Linked DNA regions of Lonchura striata. The protein of the gene in region 2 purifies or fractionates together with the protein of the main gene of each other region. This does not show direct contact. Links are inferred from orthologs where the notes say so. Each region holds a gene or a part of one and is shown on either strand. Other genes may lie near its edges. The genes, in order: MALT1 and CARD11.

The links.
Region 1: the proteins of CARD11 (region 2) and MALT1 purify together in Homo sapiens (affinity purification with western blotting; 6 studies listed by BioGRID and IntAct, with this or other methods). This does not show direct contact. The link is inferred for Lonchura striata from reciprocal best matches to the Homo sapiens genes CARD11 and MALT1.

What each region holds. Positions count from the first base shown.
Region 1 is NC_134642.1:364,907-381,437, forward strand, and holds the start of MALT1 (mucosa-associated lymphoid tissue lymphoma translocation protein 1), read right to left. Parts: upstream 6,499-16,531; 5' UTR 6,447-6,498; coding exon 6,295-6,446; intron 5,508-6,294; coding exon 5,341-5,507; intron 3,452-5,340; coding exon 3,330-3,451; intron 2,935-3,329; coding exon 2,784-2,934; intron 2,663-2,783; coding exon 2,484-2,662; intron 2,274-2,483; coding exon 2,177-2,273; intron 389-2,176; coding exon 362-388; intron 1-361. Other genes in the region: ALPK2 (alpha-protein kinase 2), read left to right, coding at 14,594-15,967. UniProt on the Homo sapiens protein: Protease that enhances BCL10-induced activation: acts via formation of CBM complexes that channel adaptive and innate immune signaling downstream of CARD domain-containing proteins (CARD9, CARD11 and CARD14) to activate NF-kappa-B and MAP kinase p38 pathways which stimulate expression of genes encoding pro-inflammatory cytokines and chemokines.
Region 2 is NC_134618.1:13,862,942-13,879,029, forward strand, and holds the start of CARD11 (caspase recruitment domain-containing protein 11), read right to left. Parts: upstream 7,802-16,088; 5' UTR 7,695-7,801; coding exon 7,682-7,694; intron 1-7,681. UniProt on the Homo sapiens protein: Adapter protein that plays a key role in adaptive immune response by transducing the activation of NF-kappa-B downstream of T-cell receptor (TCR) and B-cell receptor (BCR) engagement.

The DNA.
Region 1 (16,531 bases), on a different chromosome or scaffold from region 2:
TGAGAGGCAGACACCTCACATCTTTTTCACCTTAATTATCTGAGAAAGCAGCAATGTCCTAAAACCGAGTCTCAAGAAACCACAGAGAAGAAAGAGAATTCCCTTTGTATCTGTGTAAGTGTATGTGCAGCCTTGGGCTATTTTACTAACAGCACCCCTATGATTCTCTATATGCTTCAAGTGAAATCTCTTGGAACTAGAAAGCTGTGCTGCTCTTAAGGTGATACCAGCTCCTATTCAGTTCTCAGTTACAGGTACATCCAAATACTGTAAAGTTTATATTGCAACCCAGCGAGCCTTCAATTACTTGTAACATAAAATGAAGATGCCAAGTTAAAGTTTTTCAAAACTTATCACTCACCTGATTCCTGAAGATCACTTAAATCTTCTGTGAAGGAAAACACCAATAAAATAATAGTTTAAACAAGAAGCAGAAACCCCATTTTATTAGTAAAAACATAAGTGCCATGCCATTATTAAACAAAGCTGAACAAAGAAAACAAACTACGTTTCTAAAATACTTTTGACTTTGCATTTCTGCAAATCAAACCTTTTGTGTTTATTCCACAGAGAAGAGAAAATCCTATAGCAATACATTAAGCTGTGCTAGACGCAGCATTGCAGTACAGTAGATGTAAAAACTAAGTGGGGGACAGTTATGACACCTCAATCCCACAGGCATGCAAGTAGGTTGAAGGAAAAAGGAAAAAGTATCAGAATCATCCCACTGAAGAACAGACGTTTGAGGGGCTGCTGAAAAAGCAACATCCTGAGCAAAAAATCTGATTTTAGGAAGCCACGTGTATTCAGAAAGACTTCAGATACAATCTTCAAACATCCTAAGCTACCACGGGTTTCACCTCTTTCTTCTGAGAACACTGGAAAGCAGGGGAAAAAAACCTAACATCCTTGAAGCACCAGTGCTCTCTCGGAGCAGCCTCGCACCACTGAACCCAACCCCACGTGCTGCGGATATTGCAGCTTCCGAAATGCTCAGCAGTCGAGGGAGGGATGGTACCAACATTAAGGGTCACAATACACTTCTTCCTCCCTGCTGCAACAGTGCAAAGGAGAACAGAAAACATCCTGAGGACGGTGCTAATAAGACTTCTGCAGACATGGAGCTGACATTGCAAGTAGCTCTAGCCAGCTCTCTAAGATCATCCAGGTTCCTGAATATCTCCAGATCTTTTTTCTAGCATGTTGCCTCCTGAGCCCCACCAGAGAAATTTCCAGATCATTTGAATACCACAAAAGAAGGAAGTAGCCGTGTGATCTAGATCATGTGTCCAGGCAAAGAAGAGAGAAGCACATGCAGAAGGACTGTTGCATCATCCATCAATGTTTTAACCCCAAGCTCTTAACTCACAAATGCCTTTCAGCAACACACTCAACAACCTGTCACTCCCATCACCAATTGTTAAAACTGATTCACAATTAGAGGTTTACATTACCTTCTGTGCACTCCACTGCCACAGCCCTCCTTCCTTGTGTTTTAAGGAGGGAAAAAAATTGGAAGATGAGCTCTCAGTTCTGAGAGTTAGCACACAAAGTGGAAGATAAAGGGCACTGTCAAGCTGCTCTGCAATGTGGCTCACTTTACAGCAGTGCAAATTTGCATTGGCCATAACACTCTACAGTAATGATTCCTGAAACTCAGGAGTACTAAACTAGGGTGTCTCTTACGTTAGGAAGTTACATGGTAGTATTGTCAGATCTGGAAGCTATACAAACAGATCTGCTCCTCTTCAGTTCCCTGCAAATACACATGCATGAACATGAAACGTGTTCCTTCATTCTACTTGAAATGAACAAGCTCACCTCTCCTGATTGCTGAAGGACTCCATGTAACAGAGTTCATGTCTCCAGCAAGGGTTAAAGTGTTTTAAAGTTTTTAGTTGTCAAAAAGCATATATCAGCTAGCAATCTGCTAACAAGCCACATACATGCCGGCAGGGATGAAAAGGGACAGTACTTCTGTACTGGTTATCATAAAAACCCAAAACTCCAAAATTCCATTTGCCAGATGCAAGCACAGGTGTTTTAACAAATGGATAAACTAAAAATATAGAAGGCATGAGCTTGTCTTAATACTGAAAGCTTCAAAAATATATTTTAGTGATGTAGAAGAAATGGACAAAAGAGCTGACCTGTATGAAATAGAAGAACTCTTTACCTATAATGACTTCTACTTTCTTGCTGTCTTCGTCCTCCCGGTCATTGAATACATGACACCAATATGTTCCTTGATGTCCCACATCCACGCAAGTTACCTATGCAAGCATCATCACAATCATCCCAACAGAACTCCAAAAAATACCTGCATCAGGTATTTAAGCCTTACATCTAAGCCCCACAGGCAAGAAAGAGTAAAAAAAACTAGCAGCGGTTCTGGAGAAATTCTTTTCTTCAAAGGAACTTTCTGTGGTAAGCTCAAGGTGGTTAACGTTAGCTCCCAAGTGTGGCCCATTGCAGTAACTTACTGTGTAGACATTTTTGCTCCCATTTGCCAAAGGAAATCCATTTCTGAACCATTGGTAATGAGGAACTGGGTTTCCAACAGCTCCACATTCTAGTACCAAAGCATCCCCCACTGTCAGGTTTTGTGGCTGAGGCTGATTACAAATGCACAACTTGTTTTCAGGCAAACCCATTAAGAGCCCTTAAAAACGAAAAGGAAGTAACAAGAAAAGGAAGTGTGAGACAACCTAAGCACAGCAACAGGGACCCAAGTGCCTTGAGGAAGCAGGAAGGCACTTTCAGAAGGTGTTTTTGCCACTCACCATGAGGCATATCCTGAAGCTCACAAACTTCAAGGCGTGCCCACCGACTGAACGTGAAAGAAGATTCACTGTTCGCTCGGCAGATGTAAAAGCCAGAATCCTTTACACTCACCGGACTCAAAACCAGTTCTGGAGAATTACCATGGGGAACCTGCATCACAGATGAACCAAAAATACTTCCATTTCAATTGGTTTAATCTTAACCAGGATCAAGCATTATTATATTTATTTCCAAGTCCTTAACACCATCCTCAACTCCTTCACTTACTGTAGCCTGAGACAACTGAACTTACAGCTTCCTTTCTGCCCCATTGCACATTCACAGCCCCCAGGAATGAAGTGGTGTGAACATAAGGAATCACAGTTTTGTTTTAGCATGTTCATAGGATCATCCAGCTTTTCTTAAACTTTCTGAGCATTATGAGTATATACAGCAATCTTCTCTCATTGTGAATAAGAGTCTTAAAAAAAAAAAAAAGGACGATCCAAAATCATTATGTGTTATTTTCACTATTTAAAAACCCTGCATTCTCTATGAACTCTTACCTCTTTTTCCTGCTTGAACCACTGGTATTGCACAAATGGGTGTCCTATTGCCCAGCAGCACAACTTGACAACCTGACCAGAGAGCACTGCTTGAGAGTCTGGCTGTACAACAATCTTTACACCTTTAAGACAGAATTTACACATAGAAAAGTTATGAAGAAATACAAGTCCATAATTTATATTTGCATTTAAATTGCCCTTGGAGCACAGAACCTTTCTGTCATTAAATATACTTGAAAATAATTTGTTTGTACTGTGTATACGCACAGTTCCAATTAGTTATATTACTTTAAGACATTCAAAATTGTCTTCCACTACACAAAATCCATGCTCAAATCGATAAGTACTCGATGGAGCTCATAAAAGGTTTAAAGTATATCATTCAGATATTTTAATTTTAAAGGAAATAATATGTCTCATGGTATCACAGATCCCTTTTTGGAAAGATATTCTCAGTTTTAAATGTTTGTTCACTCCCAACGATTTTTTTTTTTGAGCTGTTCAGATTAAGGCCCAGCCTGAGGGAGTCAAAGCAGTCAGAGTTTAAGTCCAACAGAGCACATTTTCCTGCTATTCCTTATACACTCTTATGCCTCTGATTCATGCAGAACATAGGGCTGGGGTTTTCTGCAAGGTAAAACTTTCTATTTCAAATCTTAACTGACACCACTCCAATATGATGCAATTATTTTCTTAACCTAAGGTATTCCAGATCTTGTTACAGCATGGTCCCAAAACCAGGTCCACTGGTATAGCCAAAGTCATCAGAAGAAGGAGAACGGAACATTTAAAAATCATGATTTGAAACATTCTTTGCTCTGGATAGTCCAACTAGACCAGAACCTACAGAGACAACAGCCTGAAACGGAGAGCACACGGCGTTTGGAAATCACATAACCTTGCCTGGCAGAGCAGTGTGTTCCATCAGCTGCCTCCACTCACATGATTACTCTGAAAGAGTAGAACACACCAGCAGCTACTCCAAAAAAGCTGCAGCACTTTGAAATTCCCTGCCTTCCTTACTCCAAAATCACTTCCTTCTACACCTAGCACTGGAGATCAGTACCTCAACTCCTTGTTTAACACTTCCTCTTCCACTTTCTGCAGTTAAACTGTGTTGTTTTTGAGCATCACAGTCCTCTAACATTAACCAGCAGAAAAGTAATTATGCTATTTCAATTTAAAGGACAGAAAAATTAAGAAGGCTTGCTCTTTCCAAAACTTCCACTTTTTTTTTTTTAATTTCCCCCAATTTGCATCACAAACAGCTCTTAAGAACATAGATGAGAAAAATCCACTGGAAGATAAGCATTTTGCACTCATCAGAAGCATTCCAAACAAGTTCTAAGAAATCTGATCCATAATTTCTTTCCAGTTTCAGTTCCTTTCCTGTGGTTTATTCAGCACTACACAGTCACTTCCTGCACGTACCATGGAATTTAATAGTTCAAAAAGAAAAACCTTCCAGCTCAATTTTATGATAGATTACAAAGACACATAAATATTTCTTCCATTTTCCTTGGAAAATGCAGAGCATAAGTGTTACCTTTGAATATGGCAAAGTGACATCTATGGTTACTGGACTTTGAAACCATGCAGATTCAGTATTCATAATCTTATTAATAATCTGCCCTAACTGGACCCTTCCCCTTCACCTGGGATAAGTTACTGACACCTCCAGACTCCAGTGCTGGCAGCACTACCTGTCTGTCCATCTCTGGTCCATAAGCATCTCCCAGAGGCACATGCTGAGACCAAACCCCAGTCAGCAGACAGAATGACAACGCCCAGCACACCCATGGAGCCAAGTCCAAGTCTTCAACAACACTGCACGAAGGTTTGGCTTACATTTAACCTCAGAATCAGATCAGCCAATAACCTTGGTAATCATCTGGATCCCAACTAGCTAGAATTCAAGCACTAAAGTTGCTTTTCGCTACTGTAGAGTGCTACCTTGAGTGTTCCCAGTGTAAAATCCAGGGCCGCAGTGAAAGCACAGCCCAGAACTGACCTGAGTGGCTCAGACACCGGAGAGCCTCTGTGTGCTCCAGGGCCTGCAAGGACTCCGCCAGCTCCACGACAGTGCAGCCCCGATCCCCCAGCAGCTTCAGGAGACTCCAGCTAGGACTGCCTTCTGGCTCCAGCACCTGGAGGGAACACTGCTCCAAGTCGAGAGGGCTATGGAATAATGTGAGAAAGACATGGCATAGACCTTCTCAATACCTTTTTCTCAGAAAGGACCCGGGTAAACAATCACTTGTAGATAAATAAAAATAGAGATGGGAAATTCCCAGCTGATTTGGACATATTTGCAGCATTTCCTTCAAGTTTCAGGAGTACAGAGGTTATTCAGTGACACCTCCGCAGACAGAAAGTGGTATTAGTGAGCTGGATGGTATAAGAGATGCATATACCTCACAAGTTTCAGCAAATGTATTAAGAAACCTCCTATTTTTCACTTTTAAAGTGTCAGCAGAAAAAGTAGTACAGCATCTTTCATTTCTATGAGCCTGACTCAGAAGCCGTAGAGAGCGAGTCAGACTCTTAACTTCAAAGTACAGGAAGACTGATTTTAAAGTTGTTGTAAACAAGTGACTGCTGGAGTCCAGCCTAACACACCGACTGTACAGCGTAGTCACCTGTGTCTGAACTTGTAGTTTCAACTTTGGTGTCGTTGTCACGCACTTTCAGTCACAGGCATTCAATCAACACAAAAAAGAAATAATGACAACTGCCTAAAGAGAATACAAAGTTACATATTTCCACTAAAAAGATTAATCAACGTTTCCTTCCTTAAATCACAGAGCTACGCAAACCTGGGGACGAGATATCTTCAGTATGTGGTGATACTTTCACTTATGAAGTGGACGGACTCTCAGTGTTTTACGGGATTAGAGAGATAAACACGCACCGCTGGGCCGCGCCCCGCCGCCGCTGCCCGCGCCCCGCCGCTGCCCGCGCTCACCTCAGCCGCACCGCGCCGCGGCTCCCCGCTCGCTGCGCCAGCTCCCGCCAGCCCTTGCCGGGCGCCGCGCGGTCCAGCAGCTCGCTGAGCCTACGGAGCAGCGGCCCGGCCAGGCGGCTGAGGGGCAGCGGCCCCGCCGCGCCGCACTCCATGGCTGCCCGCCGGGGCGGTGCTACCGCACGGAAGGAAGAGCCGCGCGGGACGGGGCGGCTGGGTCGGGTACGGCTGAGGGGAGCGCGCGCACCGCGCCCTGAGGGGGCACAGCCCCGTTGAGGGGCTCCGCGCCCTGAGGGGACGCAGCCCTGAGGGGGCCCAGCCCTGAGGGCTCCGCGCCCTGAGGGGACGCAGCCCTGAGGGGGCCCAGCCCTGAGGGCTCCGCGCCCTGAGGGCTCCGCGCCCTGAGGGGGCCCAGCCCTGAGGGCTCCGCGCCCTGAGGGGACGCAGCCCTGAGGGGGCCCAGCCCTGAGGGGACGCAGCCCTGAGGGGGCCCAGCCCTGAGGGCTCCGCGCCCTGAGGGCTCCGCGCCCTGAGGGGGCCCAGCCCTGAGGGCTCCGCGCCCTGAGGGGACGCAGCCCTGAGGGGGCCCAGCCCTGAGGGGGCCCAGCCCTGAGGGGGCCCAGCTCTGAGGGGGCCCAGCTCTGAGGGCACCGCGCCCCCGGGACATCCCGTAGTCCTCCTCGGGCACCGTGAGGAAACAGATCAGGCGCGGTCGTACCCCTGTTGAAATGGGCGTATTGTGCGAGCGCGAGACCTCCTGCAGCGTTCCCGGGTGGTGCTGAGGAGGCCGAACGTGGCTTTACAACCGGGGCTGGGGCGTAAACCAGACAAAGCCCACAAGACCCGAGAGCTGTTTCTCTCTCGCCTTGAGGAGAAACGTCTTTATCTGACCGCGAGCAGTACGACCATGGACTCTCTTCCTTTACACAGCTTTTCTCAGCCTGCTGCCACTGTCGAAGCGTGCAGCGTAAAGGCACCTTGCGTCCTCAGCGAGGGAGAGGAGGAACTGCTCAGGAAGAGCCTCCCGAGATGTTCCCCTGAGTGATCGTTATCACTGCAAACAGATGATCTGAAGCGAATTCTCACCTCTCTGGTATTGCGACTTGCTCAAAGTGGACTGAAGGTGCCTAAGAAAGTAATTTTACAAACATTTTTAATCAGTGATCAAGCATTTGGGTAGCTCAGAGAAGTGGTAGATGCCCCATCCCTAGAAGTGTTCAAGATCAGGTTGGACGGGGCTTGGAGCAACTTAGTCTGGTGGAAGGTGTTTTTGCCCATGTTGGTGTAGGGCTATATGACCCTTAAAGGTCCCTTCCAACCGAAACTGTTCTGATTTGAATGTGGCTGCCTCTCATTTCTTTGCCTATTAGGCTCGTCTATAAAACATAGATATTCTTATTGCTATTTCTGAATAAGGGTGGTTGGAAGTGCTATATTTACTGCTGAAGACCACAGTTTCCTATCTGTCTAGATAACACTGGGAGCAAGAAGTATTTAGCACAGTAGGATCTTGTAACCAGTTTTAGCTGTGTGTCCTTCAAAATGCTTAAGAAAAAACTTGGCACAAAAGTTGTTTTTTCGGCCTCTTCCAGATCCCTTAAACTCAGGGCAGTTTGTGCAATTCATTCCAGTTTGCCATGTGTGAGACTTGTCTCCTTGGGTACCAAGAGTGGAAATACTTTCTTACTTCAGGATTTGCTCATTTGCCTTTGAGGGATGAAGATGATAAGGTGAATTTCTGTGTAGAGATTATGAGAAGTCCACTGTCCACCTTTGATTTCCTCAGCCTGCTTGTTAGGCACTGTGGATTTTCTCATGCTCAGCAGAACTTTTGTGTGCCTAACGTCCAGCAAGTAAGAAATTCCCAACTTGCCTAGAAGAGCAGTTAGGCACATGCTTCAAAAAACAAGCCAGTGCTCTGTTATGAAAAACTAAGGCCAACACTTCCTCTGTCTCAAGGCCATTAGGAAATTCCTATGGACTTCTATGGAAGTAGGATGTGCCCTCTCCTCACTGCCAACTCCCTGTCTGGCAGAGGTTTTCCCAGGAAGGGCCATCTGCTGCATGTAATGAAATCGTCTCTCTTAAAAGTCAAACTGTTCAGTGATCAGACTCCCTATCCTGAGATCGCACTCCAAAACACCGGTGAAGCTGTCGGCTGGCTTGCAGCTCCTAACAACGCGCACAAATTCAGCCTCCTTTGTCTCCAGTGGGGAGGCCCAGCCCAGGACCAGCCTATCCCAGAACATCCACAAAGAGCTCAAGGGTAAGTGAGGGGTCGGGGTGTTTGGACTTTGAAAATTATTTGTCTGCTTTTTTTCTCCTGGGCAAATAGAATGTGTATCATAAAAGACTAATAAAGGAAAAAGAGCAAGTTACTTTTATTATCAGTGCACTACAATGGATTGATTTATACTGCTGTTGACCAGGAAATGGGATTTGGTATTTCCTTCTGCTAAAGAAGAGCCATTTTTGTTTATCCCAATAGATTTGGGTGTTTCTAAGCATGTTGCATTTATAAATCTGCTCACTGTTTCTGAAATTACTCTCTGCTACTATTTCCACCAAGTCTCATTAAGACAAAATTGCAAAAATTGTACAAAAGCAAGCTTCCTTCTCTAAAGAGTGTGTAAGTGATACCAGGTATCCTGAAAGACACATTTATTAATTCTAAATTCTAAATATTTATAGCACGGCCTAATATGCATTAGATAAAAGGTTCCTCCATTCTTGAGGAAAAGGTCTGGTCACTTGGTAGTAATAGGTGATTCCCAATCTTCATGAATTGCTCAGTCTGACAGGGTCAGATGCTTGACAGGTGTTAAAAATAGATTAAGACAGATCAGTGTTAAGAGTTGTGCTGTGATTGCTTATTTTAATTACTCTATATTAAGGTGTTTGTTTGACATGTGCAGAGCCAGTAATTTATTAGTCCATTTAGCTGATAAATTATGGATGAGGTGTTTTTATACTGTGGGGCTGTTTACAGCGGGTACTGCACTAATCAAAATGTTGTCAAAAAGCCTTGGATACTGGCAGTTGAAGAACCTCAATATATCACAGAATTTTCGGCAAGGGCATATTTTCCAGACATCTACTTTTTGAACAGCCACAACTTCACTGATGTTTTTCTTACCTAGACCTTATTAATCCAATAGATAGTGTGGTAACTGGTTTAGATAATACAGTGTTTCTGTAGTTTGGTTTCTGACACTGTGCACTCTTTGACAAGTATGCTGCTCAAGGTGTTCCATTTGCGCTCTCTCTTGCTTCAGCTATCCCAGAACTGCTGTCAGCTCGGTATAGAGAGCCCAAAGTATTGGTTGATGAAAGGCTATTCCCCAGTGTGAACCACTGTGCATGATCAGTGTCATTCCCCTGGTGTTCTGCTGATATCCCCCGTGTGGGCTCACTCAGCCTCTCTCTTCCCACTACTCTGGCTGGGTGGGTGTGATGCAGGTCCTTGGCAGGACCTGCTCTGGCTGGGAGCTTTGTGGGGGTCACAGCTTGGCTCCATCGAGGGGTGGGCATTGACCAGGTGCTCACTGTGCCACGGAAATGCGTGGGACGGGCCCCTGAGCCCAGAGCTGGGGCTGCACAGATAACGGGAGGTGGTTCCTGGGTGGGCGGACAGCTCCAGCAAGGTCAGGGACCAGTGAGTGCTGCTGAAAGATAGGAAGGAGCACTACTGAAAAGGGCCTGCACACAAAACAGAGATTACTCCATGAATAGATCTTAAGCAAAGGAAAAATGCTTCAGGGATGTCATAAAGGGGATTTTTCCATTGACTCTAGAGGACATGAACCTCACAGAAAGGCACAAATTCACTTCTGGATTGCTAAAATGCATAAGCTTCCCGTATAAATAATTTCTGTGAATATAAAATTGCTTACAAATGAATGTGAAAAACAGAATTCACTGCTTAGAGTTTTTAGAAGTCTAAAAATAATAATAATTATAGTAATAGGATAAAAAAAGGACAGTATTTCCATGAGGGTGGGGGGGGAGGGCATACAGACAATGTTATCTTTATACTGTTATATCAATAAGATACATGCATATTATTGTGTTTCATGCATAATTCAAGTGTTCTTTTGAACTTTCTGATGTTTTGGGAACTTCTTTGTCTGACTTCTTCATACTCCGGCTTATCTGCATGACATCCTGGGTGTCAGGTCAATATATTTTCTTGTGTCTCCATCCTGCTGTTTCACATCCTCTGATAAGGGTTTAGTATGTCCTCCTTAAATTTAACACGGTATTCTCTAATTGTGCTCCGGTGCTCTGGTTTGTGCCATGGTTATCTTAGCACTTGGACAGGTTGGATGGCCTTACACTGTTTTTGGTTACACAAAAGCCTTTTTTTCCCATCTTATGTTTTGCTAAGGTCTATAACACAGTACATTCAACACACTATTATTTCCATAAGTGATACATAGCTATTATATTCATTGCACTACTATTTCTATGAGCAATACAGTGCATGCTTAAGGTGATAGATTATATTATACTAACATGCAGCTGAAAAGAGTTATAATTGATACTATTTCAAAATAGTTATAATCACTAACAACAAGCATGGGCTAATACATAAATGCAAAAGCCAATATCTGGTAATTTTTCACAAGAAGATTTTTGTTTTGCTAATAATTTAATAAAGTTGGAAAAATGTGATGCAAGAGAGAAAATGTAATGGCCACCTTTTAATCAAGTTTATATATTTTTGTCAGTTAATTTTTTTCTGACATTAGGAATAACCCCACAGGTCCCTCTGAAATCACTAGAAGTGGCTTTGTCACCAAAACTACCCACAAAATATAAAATATTTTAAATTTTTTTCCTTCCATGTTAAAGTGTAATTCAAAACTGTTTTGATCTCAACTGAAATAAATTATCAAATATTGAACATATTTAACAATGTATAAAAATAAGTTTCAATTTGGAGTGATGTCATTTCAAGGAAAATAATTTTGAGCAGCCAGATTTTATGTTTAGAACTGGAATTTCAGACAATATTTTCACTATGAATAGTGAACAGGCTTTTCACAACCATTATGGGATTATGACAAAGTATGAATTTTAAATGAAGAATCTCTTCAGAAAATTGACTTGAATTTGTTTTATTATATATTTGCCTTACAGAAAAGTTGGGTGATTGTTTTAGCCATTTTGATGCTTTAGCCAGCCTTTCTTTTGTTAACTATTATTTGGAATGGATTGCTTTTTTGACAAATCCCAGTGTGTTCCTGCTATCAAAGGGTTTTGGTGAAGCAGCTCCATCTGCCTGTTGCTTCCTTGTTAATCTGACTGTTGCAGGTTTACATCAGTTCAATATTTCTCCTCAATCACACCCAAGCACAGTTGTCAGGTTGCTGTTCTCATGCTGCTCCCAGCTTTGTTCTCCCTTAATCTCAGCTCCCAGGCACTGAGCCCAGGTAGGAGCTGAGCAGACCCTGCTGAGCATGAACCTGTGTTTCATTTGCCTCAAGGGCTACCATAAAAATTCCCCATGGCTCTGATCACTACAAAATGGAAAATCTGTTTGCAGCAGATTAGAGAGCCAAATCAGGCACATTTCCTGCCATGACCTGCTCAAACCTGGTGGGTGAATTCCTTCAGTGTGGCTGTGTTTCAGGTGTCTGCTGTTGTGATTCAGCAAGGAATATCATTGGTTTTCAGAGTGAGAGTTGGGACAAGCAGCCACAGCACCCTGGCATGTTTAAATGTTTTTGTGTCTTCTGCCAGCAAGTGTTCAACTCCCAGTTTATCAGGAAGAGAGTTAATTTTCAGGTTACTAGTCAAAAGCCGATGGTAAATTACCATGGTCTCTCCCATTCCTCTTTCCTCCGTGAATTTCACTGTGCATCTTCTGCCACAAGTTTTCCTGATGAGCTGAGAGGTTATCATACTAAAAGTTCTCTTTCCAGTTTCTGTCTAAATTCAATAATTGAATTTAAAAAAAAATCTTAATACTTTCTATTTTCTTTCCAGATTAAAAAAGATAGTATCTCTTTGTCTTGGGTGGAAACCCATCATTTATTGCAGTTTTCTCCTGGAATGTTATTTTACTTTCATTTCTGTGGTTGCATCTGGCAGTGCATGGAAATCCAATGTAATTTTCATATGGAGAAATCTTGACAGCTCTTTTCCCCTCAATGTCAGAGTGCAGCCAAACTGAGACAACAATAACTGCCTAGTATAATGGTTTTAGTAAAGGTTTTTCCTTAGTCTGCATTAAAAACATGTTGCCAAAGCTATTTTCAGCTGGAGAAATTACCATGCTTTTAAAATAATTTGCAACCTCCAAAAGAGGGGAGAGAGAGACATCTGGTCTTCTAAAAAGCAAAAATGAGAGAAGTGTTGAAAGAGTGCAACAGGAAACATTAGGCAAATGCATATTTAAGAGGAGAGGCTGAACTCTGAAGGGTATTTTCATGTTACTGTAATAAAATGGATGAGGAAAAGATTAATCCCTACTGCTCTGTTTTTGTCCTGTTAAATATATTCCTTGGAGTTGAAAAGGAAAGCAGTGTGATCAGAAAGGCTGGTCTGGTTGCCCCATGTGCTGTTTGTCTGGGCTCCTTGGTGTACATGGACTCAAACTGTTTGTCACACATCTAATGTTGTGTCCTTGCTGTTAACCAACTTTGTTCCCTACTTTCCAGCACCCAGGTGACTGTGGAAGAGGTGTTGGTGGCAGGTTTGCCCAAAGGGAGCTAAGGTATCCCTGGTTGCCTAGTGCTCTTCAAGGAGAGGCAGACTGCAGCCGGCCACGCAGCCGCTGCTGTTTCACCAGCAGGCTCTAGTCCAGCTCCAGCTCTCTCCCCCGGTCGGCCTGCAGTACCTGTGGCACGGTACTGCCTGCCTGCTGGGCACGGCCAGGCCGGGGGCTGAGGGACCCAGGCCAGGGCAGGACATGAGCTGGAAACATCATTACAGCAGATACACGGAGAAGGAAAAGGAGGATGAACAGAGGTGTCTTTAAATGGCTTCATTGGATTACATGGCAAGAAAGCTTTTCCTTCTGCTCTTCACCAATACTGGAATAAATGTAGTCACTTTTTTTCAGAGCCGTTAGTCTGGCATCCTCCAGGAGGTCATATTTACTCGAAACTGCTACAGTACTTTTCCAGTGCTACCATGTCACACCTTTTCCAAGGTGACTGATGAGGCAGAGAGCTCCTAGCAATGTACAAAAACATCTCGGGTATCTAAAATCCTAAGAGTTGGGAATGCTAAGGAAACAAGGCTTGTGTTACAGGAAGAGAGAAATGATTCTACATTTCTTTGGATTCAGCCAGTGGAAACCTTTTGGTGTATCTTGCTTGGATTTTATGTGAATTCAGCATTGCCACCCTGCTACTGCACACCTGCTTGAAGGGAAAACTTGATATGAGCAGGAAATTGAAGCAAGCCTGCTTTCACTGTTCTTTCATCACATGAATGACAAATATCAAGCCAGAGCACAAAATAATTGCTTTAAACAGAAATTGGCCTATAACGTCTAAGCAGGCTGGTTGTTCTGGGTATTTCTACAAACAGAGTTTGGGATTTATGTCCCTATGATGCCAATTCAAGGAATAGCCTGCTCTTGTGCCAATGTGACTACCAAACCAGCAGGTAGCTGTAGCAGTGGGGTATGTGTGGAAATGTACATTGTTTGCAGGTTCCTGTTTGCATTTAGAAAAGTTGAAAGGCTGTGTACTAAGAGTCCTTGTCAAGGCGCCACATGGATGTGTGGGTTTGCTCAGGGATTTGTTCTCCTAGCACAGATCACTCCGGGCACTTGCAATGTGCTGCCAGTAAGTGTCATTGCATAGACAGCCAGGTTAGGGTTACTGCCTTAATGTCTGATCTTCGGTTTTAAATAATGATTTCTTGTTTTGAAAGTGCTTGCAAATATATGTCAACTGACCACCTTTTAGAAAATACCTATAACCATTTCAGAAGTGATTTTAAACTTTGCATTTCTTTTACTTGCAGGTGCACAGAACAAGAGCTGCACTTCATTGAGAGCTAGAATGACTTTTCTTGATCCAGAACCACATAGAAAGAACAAAACTTGCCTAGAATTTGTTGTTGTCCTAAATGAACTCGTGACAGACTTCAGGGTAGAATGAGCAAAATGGGAAACATTTTGCACAATGTGAGAGTTTCCCCTGTGAGGGTGAGACTGTGTTGATTTCATCCAGTTCTGACTCTTCAAAAATAATTCATTTACTGCTTGAGAAGCTCAGCAAAGCAGGAGTTTTGTCTCCACCTGAGAAATCCCTCAAGACACTTGCCTAACACAGAAGACAACATGGATGTTAAAAATGTAGTTAAATCCCAGGCAACTGTTTCCTGCCTAAGGGATTTGTCAGAGGATGGTGATGACCTGCTTAATTTTAACGGTGTGGTTGATGTCGCTGCTGGAAGAGTGGAGGGATACTGCAGCAGACAGGTGCCTTCTCACCCCACAGATGTAACCACTTGTCACACAGTCAACTGTTACCTTAACACTGGAGACTTTGGATCGCCTCAGTCTCTGGCAGATGTCCAGGCATGTAAAAGGACTGGGCTGGGTAGACCTCTAACCAGGAATTCCCTGCTGGATGAGCAGGCAGACACTTCCATAGGTAATCTCACAGATTTTGAAAAAGATGACTCTGAAAATTCTGCCACCATTCTGGAGATTTATACAGAGAAAGTAACAAGTGTAAATGATGACTTTTCTGATGATGACCTGGAGTACTTTGAATGTTCAGATGTGCTGACAGTGCATGAAGATGAAATCTGGAAAAAGAAATTGCAATTTTTATTAGAAAGTGATGATGAAGATGATCTAAAACTGAGTAAGGATTGTGATGGGTGTGCTTACTTCCTCAGTGAAATGCCTTGTGTGTTCCAAGTGTCAGATAACACTACGCCTATGGATACCCCCATTGGCTTCTGTGAGCATCAGTCAAAAATCAAAGGAGTAAACGTAAGGAGAGACCCCTCTATGTACAGCCAGTCAGCTCCGCAGACAGAGATGACTCTCACTGTTGGACACCACCGAGATAAAAGTACCATTTTGAAAGACAAAGAGGAGAATCAAGTGCCTGTTGCTTCTGCAGCCACTGGAAATGAACATCCCAGAAGTGAAGAAGAGACTAATGGAAGTGGCCATCTGGCTGCAAGTTCCTCAAGGGACGAACCAAAGCCCACGGACACTGTCCCTGCCCAGGCAGATTCCTCTGCCAATGGCATAGGTACTGCTTGCACCTATGACCAGGGTTCGGGGACAATGACAGAAACCAGCCACGACGGGGACGTGCTGGGGGAAAGCTCACTGCTGCTGGAGGAGGGGAGAAGGAATGTGCCAGAGGGAAATGCACAGCACACTGTCTGTACCTTAACAGAAAGTCTGAGGAGAAACCTTTTCAAGCTGTTAAACCCTATAGAGCTTTGCAGATATGTAAGTACTCTAGGACAGTCTTTCCAGGCTGCAGCAGCAGGTAGGGAATCCAGAGCTCCGTCTTCCAGTCAGGAAGGTGTCTGTTCAGCACAGATTCCCGAGGAGGCAGAAAGCGTGCAAATGCTGGCTGGGCTGTGTCCAACAGAAGAGGCAGATAAAGACAGTCACTGGGAAAGGGAAAGGACTCGGGGGCTGTCTGAGCAAAACCAGATGCCAGATGAGAACATCTCGTTTGGGGTAAGTGACATGTTTATCATTTAACACAAAGAGTTGCTCTGCTGAACTCAATGCAATTTATTCCTGCTTGTCACAAAATAGTGTATAATCAAAATTACTTTGAAAGATACTATTCATGTACTTCTGAATGACAGCTACGGCTGGGAGCAAAATCTGGGTTTAGAAAAGGCCCAAGTAAAGCCTAAGCTGTTCTAATTATAGAGTGAGCCTGATAATGGTGAGAGGCACTAATGGGCCTCTGGACAGCTGGATAGGGAAATCTGATATGGAGGCTATTGCACAGATCTTAGCGAAGTAATGCTTCTTTCAACCCAGAAAATTTCTCACATACCTGTTGGTATTTGAGCAGAGACTGTTTTGGTTTACTTTCTTTTCAATCTATATGCAACAAAAAAAACCATCCTCCATTTATGGTGCCGGAAACCTAAACCAAATCAGCAGGGGTTTGCTCTGGTTTTGTAATGATGAAGGGAATTCAATGCAGAGCTCGTGTTACAGAGGTGAATGGAGTGCTGTGATTTTTAAAAACAAAACAATGAAAGGGTTGGATATTACAGTTAACAC
Region 2 (16,088 bases):
ACAACTGATGCACAGTCCCTGCTATCTTCAGTGGAGTGGTGATAGAAGCCTCTTTAAATGATACTTATCCCAGTTCAAATTCCTGAAATAACTCTGTTTCTTTCTAGTATTTATGATGCCACTTATTCTAGCAAGGAAAAAAGAGGGAAATAAATTTTCTCACTCCACATTTAGAGAGTCTGAAATAGATAATTCTGGTAAAGTGTATTTTTAAAGAACAAGGCAAGTTTAAAGCAATGGCCATATGCTCCTTTTGGATTCTTATATGCAAACTTTTAGCACTTAGCCAAAAATGTTGCTGTTCCTTTTCAGGATGGAATGGTCCAGCTGGTGGCTCAGAATCCACATTCAACTCACTCATTTTTCCCACTCTGGGGGAAAGAAGGATTGCTGGTTTGGGCAGCAGAAGTTGTTCTGTTTCTCTTGGGCTTGTGTAAGGCTAAATTCAAGGTAGAGCAAATTTCTGGTGACAACACATTGCAGAATGCCAGGATGTGGCACTGCCCAGCCCACAGAAGCTGATGCTCTGAGCTGGCACCGACACCCAGCACAGCACCCTGAACAACCTGGATTACTGCAGCCAGCTGTGTGTGTGAAACATTGTCCACAAGAGAAAAGAACTGGAAGAATATCCCAAATGAAAATCTGACTTTGTTTAGAGAGTTTAGAGCTTGCTAAAGCACAATGGCCCATCTCTGTTTTCAGGCAGGTTTTTCATTTGCTGTGCTTTGTGCATTGCTTCACCTCCCTCTGTCACAAACTGGAGGTGAGTGATGCTTTCAGCTCTAAAGTCTGCTGGACAGAGAGGAGGTTGTCAGATGCCTTCTCTCACTTGATGGGACTCCCATGCATGGGCTGGGAATCAGAAAGGAGGAGAAAAGGAGATATTAAATAAGACAAGTGAGGGGAGTCAGACTAATAGGTCAGGCTAAGGGGAGGGAGAACTTGGGATGTTCTGTGAGGACCAAAGGAGCAGTTACAAACCACCCTCTGCCTTTTCTCATGCTCTTTCCTCACCATATTTAGATGTTCAAATAATAATTTCTACTGTTCAGTCCCTTTGTGCAGACTCTACTTGAAGTGCTGATGGCATTGGCTATTTAACAGCCAAAAATTCTAAATGCATTCAAGATTTCTAATACTATCCTGCTCAAGCAGCTTTGGATTTCTTCACTATTATCATGTTGCAATGAGTTTACATTTTTCTGCATTGCAGCACATAGTACAAGGTATGTGTAACAGCTTGTCACTGAATCCACTGACTTCAAAGGGGCATTCAAATTCTGATCACTTCTGCCTCAAACCAAGCATTTTTCAGTTGTTCCTTGCAGGTGGAATATTCTTCCTGATATTATATTCTCACATAGCTTCTAAGGCCAGTCTGGAGCCAGCCCTGCTCTCCCAGGTGTGCAGCCTTGTTGGGCAGTGATACAGTGAAGGTGCTGCTGTCAATAGTGTTTAGTCCAGCAAAACTGCCTGGATGCTGCTCTCAGTATGGATATGGATGAGGCACAAAAACACCATTCTGCAGTGTAACACTCCATATAAAAATATTCAAGTATCACTTTTCCTTCAGGCCACAGACCTGCGGATTTAAAAACCCAATAGATTCAGCCTTTCCAGCCTTTTGGAAAATGTAAAATTCCTTCACTTTTTTTGAACAACTGAAGCAAGAGGAAAACACATTGTTTCCGATCCTGACACAAAAGTTTAAACATTTTTTGTTTCATGCTACCTACCCTGGTATCTTTCATGGCATAAATCGCAAAAAAAGAGAGAATAAAAGACAGAAGGAAATGAAACCTTCTAAAATAAAACTTGCCATTCTTGGGTCTTTCTAAAAAATATGTAACTGGAAATACAGGGATATGTTACTGGAAGGATGAAGCCCACACAGAAGATTTTTAAAGAATTAAATTTTGGGACTTATCCTGACTGCCTTCAGCAGGAGCTATGAAGGAGGACTAGCAGTGTAGGAGCAGGGAAGAATCTTACCTTAAGCTTGTTTTTTTTCCCCTCAGGAAAAAATCAGCTCAGCAATAGTAAAGAAGGTGGGAAAATTGATGGAATTTTCTATTTTCAGTCACTGCAAATCATTAGTGAAAAGAGTTTGATGATCTCACTAACTACCTCATTATAAACTACAAAAAACCATATGGAATGTAAACTACCTTCACATGGTGCTCAGAGACATGATTTAGTGCTGCACTTGGCAGTGCTGGGTTAACAGTTGGACTCAATGACCTTAACAGGCCTTTTCCAACCTAAATAATTCTGTGATTCAGAAAAAGCCAAGCAGTGAGATGCAGGAAGCAGATGCTGGATAGACACAGTGACTTGTTCTTGTGAAAGACTGGGATGCACCAGTAGACTTTGCAGAGGATCCACATGGAAGTGCCATCAGGGAGGAAAGATTCCTTTAAACAGACTCCATGCAATGGACCAGTTTGGTCAGAGAGTAGAGTAGGTCGCTGGTATTTGAATTGAGTTGCTAGAAGCCAAAAGCCCTCATATGGTCTTACAAATGTGATAATTTTTCAGTTCATGATCAAAGTTTCAATCACCATTTTCACTGTACTTTGGAAATGTACTTGGTGTAAAAAGACTTGAAACACTCTTTGGGTGTTTTCCCAGTTTCATCAGGATTCAGAATCCCCAAAGGGAAATATTTGATAGCTGACTTTATTAGTGTTTCAAATCTTGGAGGAACTTATTTTTGTGCTCAAATATACTAAATGCATGTAACAACTTATTAAGTATACTCAGATTGATTTCAAGTATGGGCACAGCTAGATTTGAGATGTTTCTACAGGTTTAGAGCTATAAAAATGAAGTGGAAACAATTCTTCAGCTGCTAATGACAACCATATATGTACTGCTACCATACAGCTTCTTCTGCATGCAGATGGAAAAAAAAATCCTTATCGCACTTTAAACAGAAAACTTATGCTACATTTGGTCTTCAGCATCTCAATTACAACCTGAGGAAAATTTTCCAGCAAACACCCAGTGCTCAGACGGCCAGTGGGAATCCTTTCCTTGGCTACACTGAAGCTGATTCCTCCCCTGAACTCCAAAAACCAGGGCTGACTTGGGCAAATTCCAAGTACCTCTGTGTAAGGCCAAGCTGGCCTCAGGGACCAGAACAAACACATCCCTTAATGCAACACCAAGTTCTTCACACAGAGAAATTCACTGAGGCAACAATTACTACAAATAATATCACACACACACAGCTGTATATACATTTATCCTTTTGACAAAACCAGAATGTTACAGCATTTCATTTGACATTTCTGATAGATTTCCAGTGAGATTTGACAAATTTCTCTCTCCTTTTGAGTTGCTAAACAGATTCACTGAAGTAGACAGCATTAGAAAGTAATCACCCACCCAGCCCTGAAGATAAAATAGGTTTTGCAGGACTAAAGTAACAGAAATATTCTCTTCACTACGTGTTCAGCACTGGGAACAGACAACGAACAACATGTTGCCAGTTTTGGGTGCTATTAGTAATGTGTGCTTGCTTTTTGTATATAAAAGCACAAAGTTTTTACCTCTGGAAGAGGTTTTACATGACTTCTATGAGCCAGAGAGAAGTTGTTGACATAGAAACCAAGAAAGAAAGAAGGATAAATAAGAGAAACCTGTAACTGCCTATTCCAATAAGCACCTTGTCTCTCGTGACCAGTGAGTAAAGTGTAAACTTATGAGTTTTGTAAGAATGTATAACAAGCATGCCTGCTATAATAAAGAGTTTGAAGCCTTCTGAAAATGGAGTGTGTTGCTCTGTGTTGTCTCCATCTCAATTATGAGACTTACCCACTGGTAAAATGTTACATGTAGGTCACTAAGCTTGGGAGTTCATAGTACTCACAAACTATCATCCTTCCTAGAGCCCAAATATTTGGCAGAAGGTTATGAAGGGAGGTGTTTGAAATAAAACTTCAGAGGATACTGTGCTTAACTCAAGTCAGTGAGCAAACCTCAGCCAAGGGAATTCACTGCCCAGAGCTGGGACACTCCGTGACAGGGAATCTGGCAGAGCTGCTGTTCTGTCTAACTGCACTTTAAACAGCCTGGCACTGCATTCTCCTCTTGCCTGAGAGGAGCAGAAGTGAGAGGGTGATAGAGGGAGAGAATACAGACTGAAGCAGCAGAGACAACGAAGCTTTTATCACTCATTGGATGTGTGCCACAGACACCAATTATACACATTTGACAGCAACCATTATAATTCCAGAGTCCTTGAACAAATCACAAGCAGAAAGGTTACCTTCTGAAAATGTTCATTGCCATTAAATAAGTGACCCAGACTAGAGGATGAAGGCAGCACTTAAGAAAAAATTTGGGGGAAGGGTAGAGATGGAGAATATTATTACATGTAGGCCTGTAAAACCCCATCATTTGTTCTGAAAAAGGAATTGCAGATTCACTGCAGATACTGGATTCACAGCAAAGCAGTGTTCTGCAAATGCAAATCCTACAGACAGCAGTGGTAAAACAGACAAGAGACAAAGAATTTTTCTCTCATATCAGTGGTGAGACTTGACCAAACTTGGTGGGGTTTATGGTTTCACCCTTCAGTTTGAAAATCACATGGCATACTTCCATATTTCTTTTTAAGTTTAGATTGCTGTGGAGGCTACTGCCAAAGAAAGCTGCCACAGGTCAAACTCCACCATCAGTTACATGACTTAATGACCATATCTAAGTGAAAGATTCGTATTTCATGAAAGATGCATTTCAATATCAAAGAGAGAGTTAAGCCATCTGCTAACAAGAGGGTAGCTAAGGATCTCTATAAATTTCATCCTCTGTGATGAAATTTACATTTCCATATATCTATCAGATGAAAACTTTTACCAAGAAACTGTACAGAAACCAAGGTCATTTGGTGTATGGCATTCTGGTATCTTCAGCATATCCAGTTATCTGGGTTTCATCTTTCTAGAGAAGGTCCAAATTGACTTTAATTGTAAAAGATACAGGCAGTCAGATGGCTCTTCCTTCTCCCACGCTGAAAGTGTATTAAGAAAGTTCATCATTAAAGTTTATTGAACTCTTAATTAAGAGTTAAATCTAATTGGAAGTAACTATTTGCATAAGAACAGGGAGTAAAACGTGATTCTGAATTTCTGTTCTGGGGTTGGCTCTCTTGATACAGAAATTTACTGAGGATAGAAAGTTTCCAGGCTCTTTCCTGCTGAAATTCCTCCTCTGCCAGACACATTATTGAAGAAACTGGACACAGACACACACAAAAATACAATTTCTGTCTCCAGGTCCCCTTGCAAAAATCACAACACACCTTTGACATTGTCCATTTTAGCTCAACACAGGGAAACAATGTGATGCAAAAAGAAAAAGGAGGGGGTGAGAGAGAAGAGACATTGTCCCAGCCCATTTATTTATGGGAGCCTTTACAAAAAGAACCAGTAATAGGGGCAGAAAGTACTGATGAAATAAGGCACAACATCCTAAAGCTTTTTCAAATGACTCAAAGGAATACAAATGCTGTTCCCATCACAAGATGAGTTGCAACAGAATAAGAAAGAGTCATTTTAGACCTGAATGTATAAAATTAGCATCTCGTATTTTATTGTTCTAGGCTTGTGGACTTTTTGCAAGATCCAAAAGGCAAAGATATTTTAATGTACCTCTTTCTGTATTCAGAAAGAATTCTCACAGCTCAAAGGCCACAGTTTTCTAACTCTGAATCAGAAAGGATATTTTATAATTGCAAACATAAAAATTTAAGCTCCTTTCACTCATAAGGAGATGGACAATTTGAGAGAGCCAGACAGATTGCTAAGAGAATTCTCCCACATAATAATTCTCTTATTAATTCAGCTGAGTTTAATAAGTGAAACTTATTCAGTTCCCAAAAGACCACACGAGAACATCCTTAGGAATAAATCTTCAGTCTCAATAGTCCTGCTCAAGAAGGTGAGGCTAAAAAGCTTCATCAAAGAAGTACACTTATTTGTCATATTTGATTCAAAGCATACAAATTTAAGCAAGGAATAACACCAGATATTGTCCTTGGATGCAGTTTTTAGCCATGTCTGATCTTGGTGACTCACCAGTATGTCTGGTATAAAAGACATGAGCTGTTTCCAGATCCTAGGAGCAAAGTAACTGCCACTACAGCATCGGAGATGAGAACGTCTACCTTTGGGACTTGGAATCCCATAGGAATCAAAAGGACAAAAACTATGCCAGTGTCAGATAAGAAATTCTGCTGTGGGGCAGGAATTGCCGAAGTTTATTCAGTTTAGTAAAAAGATTAACTAACAACTAGAACTATTTTTTACAGTTTTCAAAAGGCATTTTGCAATGTACTTTCCCATTTTTTCATCTACCTTCAGTTCAGTCACTAAGCTCTTTCTCTGCTCAGGTTGGTTATTCTGCAGAGGAAAGAGGAGCTGAGAGACTGCAATACTTCCTCTGGTTCCCCTGCAGGCTGGCAGAGGGATCCTAAGGCAGCAGTGCAAGCCCAGCAGCTTCAGCATTTCCTCCTAGTTTGAATGCAATATAAAGATAAAAACAGATAGAGAAACCTGGTGAAGAGTTGTGGTAAGAAGGTAGGAAGGAGTGGGATGGCAAAAAGAGAAGGGATAGAATACACAAAGTCAGGGCAGGCTCTATTTGAGAGTGGAGAGGAAGACAAAGGGGTTACAGGTGCTAGAAAATGCTGTTTGTAAGACAGAAACAGAGAGACAGGATGACAGTGGTTATTTGCTGTGAATGACTAAATATGAGTCTGAGCATTGGAAGGAAGCTATGCAAGGGTAAAAGTCTCCTATTTTGGGATGCATCCCCAAAACTGTAAATATGCAAATCCTGAACACTTCCATGGAAGGGAATGACAGGACTAAGAGACACATGTGTGCAAGGACAGGCCAGTGGAGAGGCAAGAGCTCTCACGAAAGGCTCTTTCCAGTGCAGCAAACACAGGAGAGAGGGGATGGAGCAGGAAGTAGGAGTGCATGTGTGAAGCTGGAGGAACAACGGGAAAGGGGAACACAAGAACAAGAAGGAACTGACAGAGGGGAGGGAGAGATTAAGAACTTGAGGGAGGATGCACAGACATGAAAGAAGGCAGAGGGAAAGGAAAGGAATGAAAAAGGGAAATAATTTGTCACACAGAAAATACTCTTGATGGCATAAAAAGGCATAAAAAGGCATAAAAAGATGGTGAAAAAGATAAGAAATAGAAAGGGTTGAGAAAAGAAAAAGGGAAGTGAGAAGAACAAATAAAAAGAGGAAGAAAACCAAATAATAAAGATTTTACTTGTTAGCAGAAAGCATAAATCTCAGTGAAGAGATTTAAAGAAAGGGCTAGAGTTCAACACACTATGGGTAGAACCAGAAATACCCTGGAGACCAGCACTGATGATCAGTCCTTCATCTCCCCTCTCCAGACCTCCATATCAACTCAGTTTCCCAGTGCACATTTGCACCTCCAGCTACAGCCTCTTTGCCTCCCTCAAGCCTGGGCTCCAAAGATCGACACACGCTGAATATCAGACCTGATGATGGCAAGGGAAGCACAAATGGAACCATTTTCAAAGAACCTTTTGAATATCAACACGAAAAAGGTGAAAGTGGAACTTTCAGTGATCAGAGCTGTGTAGGCAGCAGGGAGGGGAGCTGCTCTGCCAGCTGCTCTCCTTACCTTGGGTGCCCATGAGTGACCGGCTGTGGGGCTGCAGCTGCTGCAGGCTGCACTCTCTACGTCGCCTCCATGCAACAGTCTGTGTCTCTCCAGGAGTCCTGGAAAGGTTATTCGTGCTCTGCAGCTGTTGAAAAGTTAAGGAAACACAAGAAGCAAAACACTCCCTGGCCCCCAAAGTACAAAAGTCTCGGGAGAATCAGGAATGAAGGAGGCTGGGGGCACTGGTGTCAGAATGAGCAAAGAGCCACACAGAAAGTAAGAAAAAGTGTGTCAGAGGCTGGGAGGGGCAGAGAAGGAAAATGCAAAGATCTGACAGGAAACCAGACTATAAATCTGCTGCAGGTTGAAAAAAACACATTTCTGCTCCCCAGCAATAGGGCCTGTTTGCAAATGACTCTGCAGGCAGGTGACAGCAGAGCCCTGTGGCAGCAGGCAAGCAAATCAGGAGGCACTGCTGCCCCTTTCCCAGGAAGAGCAGTGGGCAGAGGTGGCAGCACAAATGCCCGGCTCGGGCACAAGAAGCAGCCTGTCTCCACTGCCTCACTTCAGCTCCACACACTTCCAGGGCATGATTTCCTCAGGCTCAAGGGGATGTGCTTAATGCCAGCCTGGCTGGTGCTGTGCCTTTCCCAGCACAGAGCAGCAGCCCTGGTGTCTCAGGGCACTTGCTGGTAGAAAGCAGGTGGGAGAGAAAAAAGAATGAAGGAACTGAAGAAAACAGAGTTTCAAGAACAACAGTTCCAGGCAGAAGGAGCTCTGGGTTTTCCCAAGGTATCAAAGGTTTTTCATTAAGGCATCTAGATTATTAATAGCTTATTTTGCTAAAAAGGTAGTCAACAAGGTTTGCTTTATGCATCAAATTATTTTACAGTTGAAGGATGTTTTGAATAACGTGTTTTCCAAAGGCAGTCTTTGCCGACACAGAGAAGCTGCAGTAGCTTGTATTGCTTCAATGCTGGATTCCAGCCTTAAGGCCAACATGCAAACCCAGCCCCTGGTGGGTCTCACAGAGGACATTTAGCTCTTGCTGCAACCAGAAGCCTCCCTGCAGCCAAACCCACCAGAGCAGTCACCATCACTTCTAGAAACATCTTGCAGTGCTCTGCCACCCTGCTGAGGGATCCTGAGCCTGAACCCCTTGCGTGGTGTGCTGGTTCTTGTACAAGGCACAGGTACAGCTCTACTGCTCACAGCCGAGGTTTTACCTTTACACTGGGCACATGTGCACAGGTGAAACCTCCCTGGAGTCAGGTCCTGGGTGTGTGAGGGACAGACAGAAGAACTTTTAAAGAAAGGATGAGTGTAACAGGGAAGCCAGTGTGCAAGGGTGACTGCAAATGTCACCAGTCCAGCTGTAAATGCAAACACATCAAATTACAAATTGGGAAAACAATAACGGGGGTTTGAGCAGAGTCACCCACAGGTTTTTCTGTCTGGATCACCTTCTGTTCCCTCATGATTTTTGCAAGGTTCAGCTTTTCTTTGAGGGTGACTAGAGAAAAACAACTATGTATATATGGGCATGGGCATGTGTTTATTTCCTTAGAGAAAATAACAGAAATAAAATCAGAAACACTAGAAAAATAAGCATAAGCAACATATAATATATAATAATGTGGGGGGGGGAAAGCATGATGACATTAGTGGAGGGAGAAAATAAGAAAGGAAAAAGTATTTGGTAGAGAATAAAGAAAACCATAACAAATGGAAAGTAAGTACAAAAGAACAGTGGAAAAACTGTCAAAGGATAGAGCAGTGGCAAAGAGCAGAATAGAGGAAGTGAGGCGATACAGTGAAAAGAAGAAATGTAAAGAAAATAGAGAAAACACATGGCTCAAAGTCTTGCTACAATAACACATGAACTGCTCTTACCAAACTGAAAATCTGAAGCCTGCAAAAAATTGCAAGGGTGCTCTGCTCCAATCCTCCATTATTTTTTATCTTATTTCACATGTTTGTAACTGTAGCTGGACTGGTGAGGGTCTAAGTTTATCCATGAGGATTATTCAGAAAGGGATTCTGGAAGCAATTCCAGTTCTCTATATCAAGAGCTCAAAGATAAAGGAAGGCAGGAATTTCTGTCTCCTGCTGAGCAATAGCAGAACCTGCTATCCCCTTACCAATTTTTTTTCCAGTGAGGACTATATCTTGATGTGTTACTTGTATTCTTCTGCAGCTTTACCAAAATTCACTGCTTGGAACACACTTGGAGCTGCATGTGACAAGGTGCAGGAAAACCTCCTGCCTTGAGCAGCCAAAAATCTCCCCATGCAATAACTGCACAGGTGAGGTTCTACAGTTTCTGACCAGGGGAAAGTCTGTGAAACTTTGGGTGAAAACTGTGAAATAGAGCTATAAGAATCATGGCCTACAATTCTTCCATCAAAACCAATACAAAACACTTTTGAGTTGAGCTTTCTGCTGCTTTCACAGAGGAAGCTGATTTGTGCATGCAACAGAGGAACCATTTTAAGCACAACCAGAGAAACTAACTCTGCTGGCAGGAGGCTTTGTGGCTTCACTTCAATTTTAAAATCACAGATCTTCCACATATAGTTCCTAACCTGAAAGGAAAAACATGTTAAAAATTCAAATCAAAACTCACAAAGTCTCATTACAGCTTTCTCCTTCTGTCCTTGATTTCTTCAGCAAACAGGGTATCAGGCAGCACACTCTGAAACTGCCCTACAGAGCCATGCAAGGGGTTAGGTATCATTTGTTCCTGTTCCTGCTTTTACTTTGTTTAATGCTGTAGATTACAAACAGATCAAAAACTACAGTAACTGTTTTAAAGAAGATGCCACATTTCCCTGTGTTTAAAGTGACACCGTAGAGATGAAGCAATTATCCAGCAAAGCCTGAGCAGCTTTAAGGAATCTATCACAGAAATCAAAGAACCTAAAATTCTCATAGTCATAACGGGTTTACTGGCAAACTGAGATTAGCTGAGCAGGATACAGTCATCAATCACAAAGCCACATGTAACTGAATATCAACTCTATTTTAAAAGAATTTACAATCTTAATCCCAGTTTTCAGGTGTAAAAAAATTCCCTCAAGCTATAAAAAAGTGTTATAGTGAGGCTGCAGTTCCTTGAGGCTGGCAGACTGAAGTTATGTGTTTCACACAATGTAAGGGTAGAAAATAATTATGTTCTATTAACCAGGCAGGCAGAAAAAATGAAAAACTTCAGATGCATCACATAAAATACAGCAAAAAGCTGCAGAGTTTGAACCAGGGGCTTTCCTGACTCAAATGAAGGGTCTAGGAACCTGAATGGTAGAGTTCTAAGCAATAAATATTCCTTTTATATTTTTATTTTTTGGGGTGAGAAAACTTAATTGCCTCAAAAAGATACCTGTCTCTGTATTCTGATTATTTTTATTCCACTGGAACTTTCAGTTTAAGAAGCTATCCAGTTAAAGGTAACAATAAACAATACTTTTTTTGTTATTGGTGTTGGTTACGGCTTCTCAGATTTCTTTCATTAAACCTGGTGCAGGAAAAAATAAATTGCACCTCTGCTTTCAACCTGGAAGGACACACCTGGTATGTTTCTGTCTCCCTCTTTGCCAGAGACTTCAGAAAAAAAAGGGTATATTTAGTTCCTTCCAGTTGTACTAATTCTGCAGGTCTGAGCCCTGGTGGTGCAACCTGAATGAGGTTGCATTTTAAATCCTTTGGTCGTTCTGTACCTTCCCTTCCTGCAGGGTTTTACTTTGAGTTCCTTGCATAAAAAAGCCAGCAAAATTTCAAGGTTTTCTATTAGGTGATTAAGCAGTGGAAATTATTTGGAATCTTAGCTATTCCTCCCTATTTTTGCTGGTCTCCTACACATTTTGCCCATACCAGAACATCGTTATTGGGGTCTACAGGGAAAGTTTCTCTCCCTTCTCCTTCTGTCTGTCCCACAGGAATCACACATGCTTCCTATGGAAATAAACTTCCCTTGGTGTAAGGTTCTCCTTGTACACCACAACTTCCTACAGGAGGCCTTTTTAAAGAGGTGATTCATCAGCTCTAAGTCAGAGTTGAAGCTGCTGCAGAGCTTTAAATATCTGCAAACTGAAGAGTTAAAAAAAAAAAATCAACATTTAGAAGTAAAGGAACACTAAAATGCTCTTAAAAGCTCTTAATCTGCTGCTCCTTTTCTTCTGCTCCCTTCTTCTCCCAAGAGAGCCATCCCAGCCCATGAGGAGGCTGCCCTTGACTCCTTATCAGGGTAACAGTCCTGAAAATCCCTGGATACCAGAAATGCATTTCACAAACTACTGATTTGAGAACTAATATATTGCATTTCTCCTGCATGCCTGAGCACAGCAGCACCGTATATATTGTTAACACAACCCTTCCAACTCCTTAGAGCAGAGAAACAGAAGTATTAAATATTTTCCCCGTTTTACATATTTTATGTTATCAGCCTTGCTCAACTATCCTTAGAGACTATCACTCTTACTTAAGGATGCTCACAATTTATCATTTTTCTCTGGAGATCTGACTTCCAGAACAGAAGTATTTCCCTATTCAATTCACCAGCCTGTGCATAAGCAGCTGTTAGTGTTCATCTGCCTTTTCTAGGCATTAACATCAAAAATGCCCCTTGATCTTAAAAAGTGACACACAGCGTGGTTTCTTTAACACCTTTGGGGGTAATGGTTTAAATCCAGCAGGGAAATGTTCTCATCTATAGGTTTATGATACACATTTAAACACTGTTTCGATTGCCTCAACTATGAAATAAGATGACAGCCAAACATATATCAGAGGGGAACAGAGAGCATAAAATTCCCTCTTTCATTTGACAGTGGTGGGGTTTACGTGGTTTTGCACAAAATGTACAGTCTCTGTCAAGTTTGACAGTATTATGGGATATATCCCAGTCACCTGTTAGCATATTCACCCAGTGTGGAAAATTTGGATTCAAATCCATTCTGGGATCTGGGTTCACAATCTATGGCACAAAAAAACCCAGCCCTTCACTGAAGCAAAGAACCCAGACCTGGGGTTTTGATAGGAAAAAGGGGAATAGCTTTAAGCTGACAGAGGGTGGATTTAGATGGGATATTGGGAAGAAATTCCTCTCTGTGAGGGTGCTGAGACCCTGGCTCAGGTTGTCCAGAAAAGCTGTGGCTGCCTCATGCCTGGAATTGTTGCAGATCATGTTGGGCAGGGCTTGGAGCAGACTGGGACAGTGGGAGGTGTCCCTGCCCATGGCAGGGGGTGGAACAAGATGCTTTAAGGTTCCCTCCAGCCCAAAGCAGTCTGGGATTCTGCAGCTCTGGGATTCTGTGACCCATTCTGCCCCTTCTTGAGGCCAAAGGGAGGGGAGCTCCAGACTCTCTGATGCTGTCTCCAGAAGAGACAGAGTCAATTTAGTTGTTTTTCCACCTGTTCTCTTTCCCTTACACTTACATGATTAATCAAAATTTTGCGTGAGGCACAGCTCAGGTGCTTGTGCTTTTCCATATGTTCTTAATTACATGTCCACAGGGCTTTAAATCCAAGGATCTTTAAACCTTCCAGACAAATGATTTAGTTTAACAGCAACCAATGAGTTATGTATTCATATCCATCCTCAGTGGATGATAAGACTAAGTATTGGAGACGTAAAAAGGGAATATTTCCTCTGCCTTACAAGTGGTAAAAATAGTTCTTTCACATAGTTCAATATTTTGGTTTAATTAAAAAAAAAAAAAAAGACAACAATGCCACAACACCTGGAAAAAGTTCAGAAATCAGGGCAGACACTTCTAAAACAATATTTTTTTCTTAAAATAAAGATGGACAGGAAGAAATCTAATCACTATTATTTAAAAAAACAACCATTCATAGAATTCAGATAATTTTCACCAGAATAAATACTGGAAAAATTATTTTAGTTCAACAGTTTCTGGGTTTTTTTTTTTCTAAATAAATCAATCAGTTTCATATCTCACCTTTTGCTTAAAACATAAAATCATCTTTCTGTGATAGTAGCACTGTCAATATCTCTTCTGAATATTAGACCGAAGGATTTAACATATCTGAAATCCAAAGGATAATCTATCAAACTTGAAATTTAGTAGATGCCAAGAGAGGTGAGTTACTTATTTTTGTTTGTTTGTTTTAAATTTGAAATGTTTCTTGTATTTTTTATAGGTCAGCATTTATTCCAATTAAAAGTATGGATGTTTTAATAGAGATCAATTGAAAATAACTGCAGAGCTTAAATGGCTCACACTCTTCAACATTTTGTCTTTTTGAATCCATACAGATTCTTCAAAAGGTCAGGAGGAGGAAACTTTGTGCTGAGAGCAGTAAGTACACAGCAACACAGAAATAGCAATGTTAGGGTTAATTAATAATACGAACTATGCAATTTCTAAACCAAGAGTTATATATTAATCCACATAGTTTGAATGGCAAGGGAACATTTTCCACAGTTTAAATATCCAGGGAATGCAACACAGAGTTGGAAGTTAAGGATTTTTACCTTTCATCACAGGTCCTCTGCATCCACCATGGTTCACAGAATCTATCGGCGCTTCTCTCTCCTCCTCTGTAGAGAGAACCACAACACCTTTGAACCTGAAACTGCTACATAAATGTGTCAAGACCAGAGCATGAAACTCCACATGAGCATATCACCAGTACACCTTAGAAAAGCAAGAATTCCTGTATTGAGTCACACCCAAGATCCAGCTCTGCCAGACAACAGCACTGGATGCTGCAAAGCTGGAAGCTGAAGCCATCCTCAATAAATGCAGCTCCACTGCAGGAACAGGAGCTGGGGCGTTACAGAGGACAACAGAGATAAGTTTATGAAACAGGAATTTGCCAAAAGCAACTTGGGCTAAGGTAGTAATTTGATGGAAAAGTTATCAGATCCCAGAGGTCAGACGGAGATATTACCATGTTATGCCTTATTTCTCCTTATTGTGTCATTTAAATAGGACAAGTTGTAGCCAACATCACATTCAGAGTTATTCTGCCAAAACAGCAATGATCATTTCTGAAAGCAGAGGATTCTGAGGCAGGCTAGGAACATATAATGTTTTCCGAGCAAGGGAAAGAAAGAGGACAGAAACAGCAGGTAGTGGAGAGTTCTTGAGGGGTTTTGAACAGCCTGTGAGACTGAATTGGCCCCTGTGACTGAGCTGACAGAAATCTTGATGTCCCACTTGGTCAGTATGTGGGATTTCTCTATGACTTGCTATTTAGAAATTATTTTTTCATTTTTGGATATATCTGTTCTCCCAAGATCTCATGCTCATTTTCTACTTAACTGTGTAGTTCCCAAGGGAAGGACTCTGACCATTCCTGTAGAAGAGTTCTTAGGATGCATATAAATAGTGGTCATATATCACAGTACATTTTACATATGTGAGATTAAACATAGCCATAAAACTATATGACTGCTATTTATTAATCCATAAATGAATACCTGGGTTGGAATTTTTAATATTTCTCTTTGAAACAATAGTGTAACTTTCTGCAAGCTGTGCTTTCTCACTGCATGACAACTCTATATTAGAATATTTAATACCTTTACATCTATAGGACTTTCACTTCATTCCAATGCCCACATACATTCATTACATGCCATGAAATTTGTAACAAACTTTAATTCACTTATCATTCATGGAGTTACTTCTGATACACCTGGTGTAATAGAATGCAGATAACCCATCTCAAAATAAGTAATGGAAATGAAATTAATTCAAGCACACATTGGTCTAGGTTTTTATCTGTAGATCTAAATTGCCACGATTTTAATAACCTCTTAAATTTATTACATTAATAGATAATGATATCTAATAAAACTGAAGCCTGATTTTATGAGACATTGCACTAATTACCTGGTTTGATGTGTTAATCACTAATTCTTGTATAAAACATACCAGACCCCTGACGAGTTTACTGACCCCCATTCATTCATAGAAATATGCCTACATTATATTTTGTATAAAGGAGAGAAAGGACAGAGAGATGAGCACAGTCCTTTCATTGAAAACTGAAAAAATGTCTAAAATGTATAGCACTGCATAGTGCTTTAGGCTTATTTAAGAGTCTAAAATGTTTTTGAGAGAATAAAGAAACCATATTGTTTATTTCTGGAAAGATATGGAATTATGCATTTATCCTCTTTTGGCTCACCAAAATATGAAAAACTGCTTATAAACTTGTGGGCTTAAAATTCCAGTGAGTGAAACTTGTAAATTTTAAGAAACTCCAGTGACTCCTGAATTGGACTTTCAGTGAGACAAAGAAGCAATAATGTTAAGAGTATTGACAGAAAGAGGGAACTACCATTTTATATCAGGATTTAGGGAATGATATATTCCCCTTGCAACTACTATATCCAATTCTTATCCTTCCACCATGAAACAAACTAAATTCTCTAAAACTGAGATGATGAAAGTGAAAG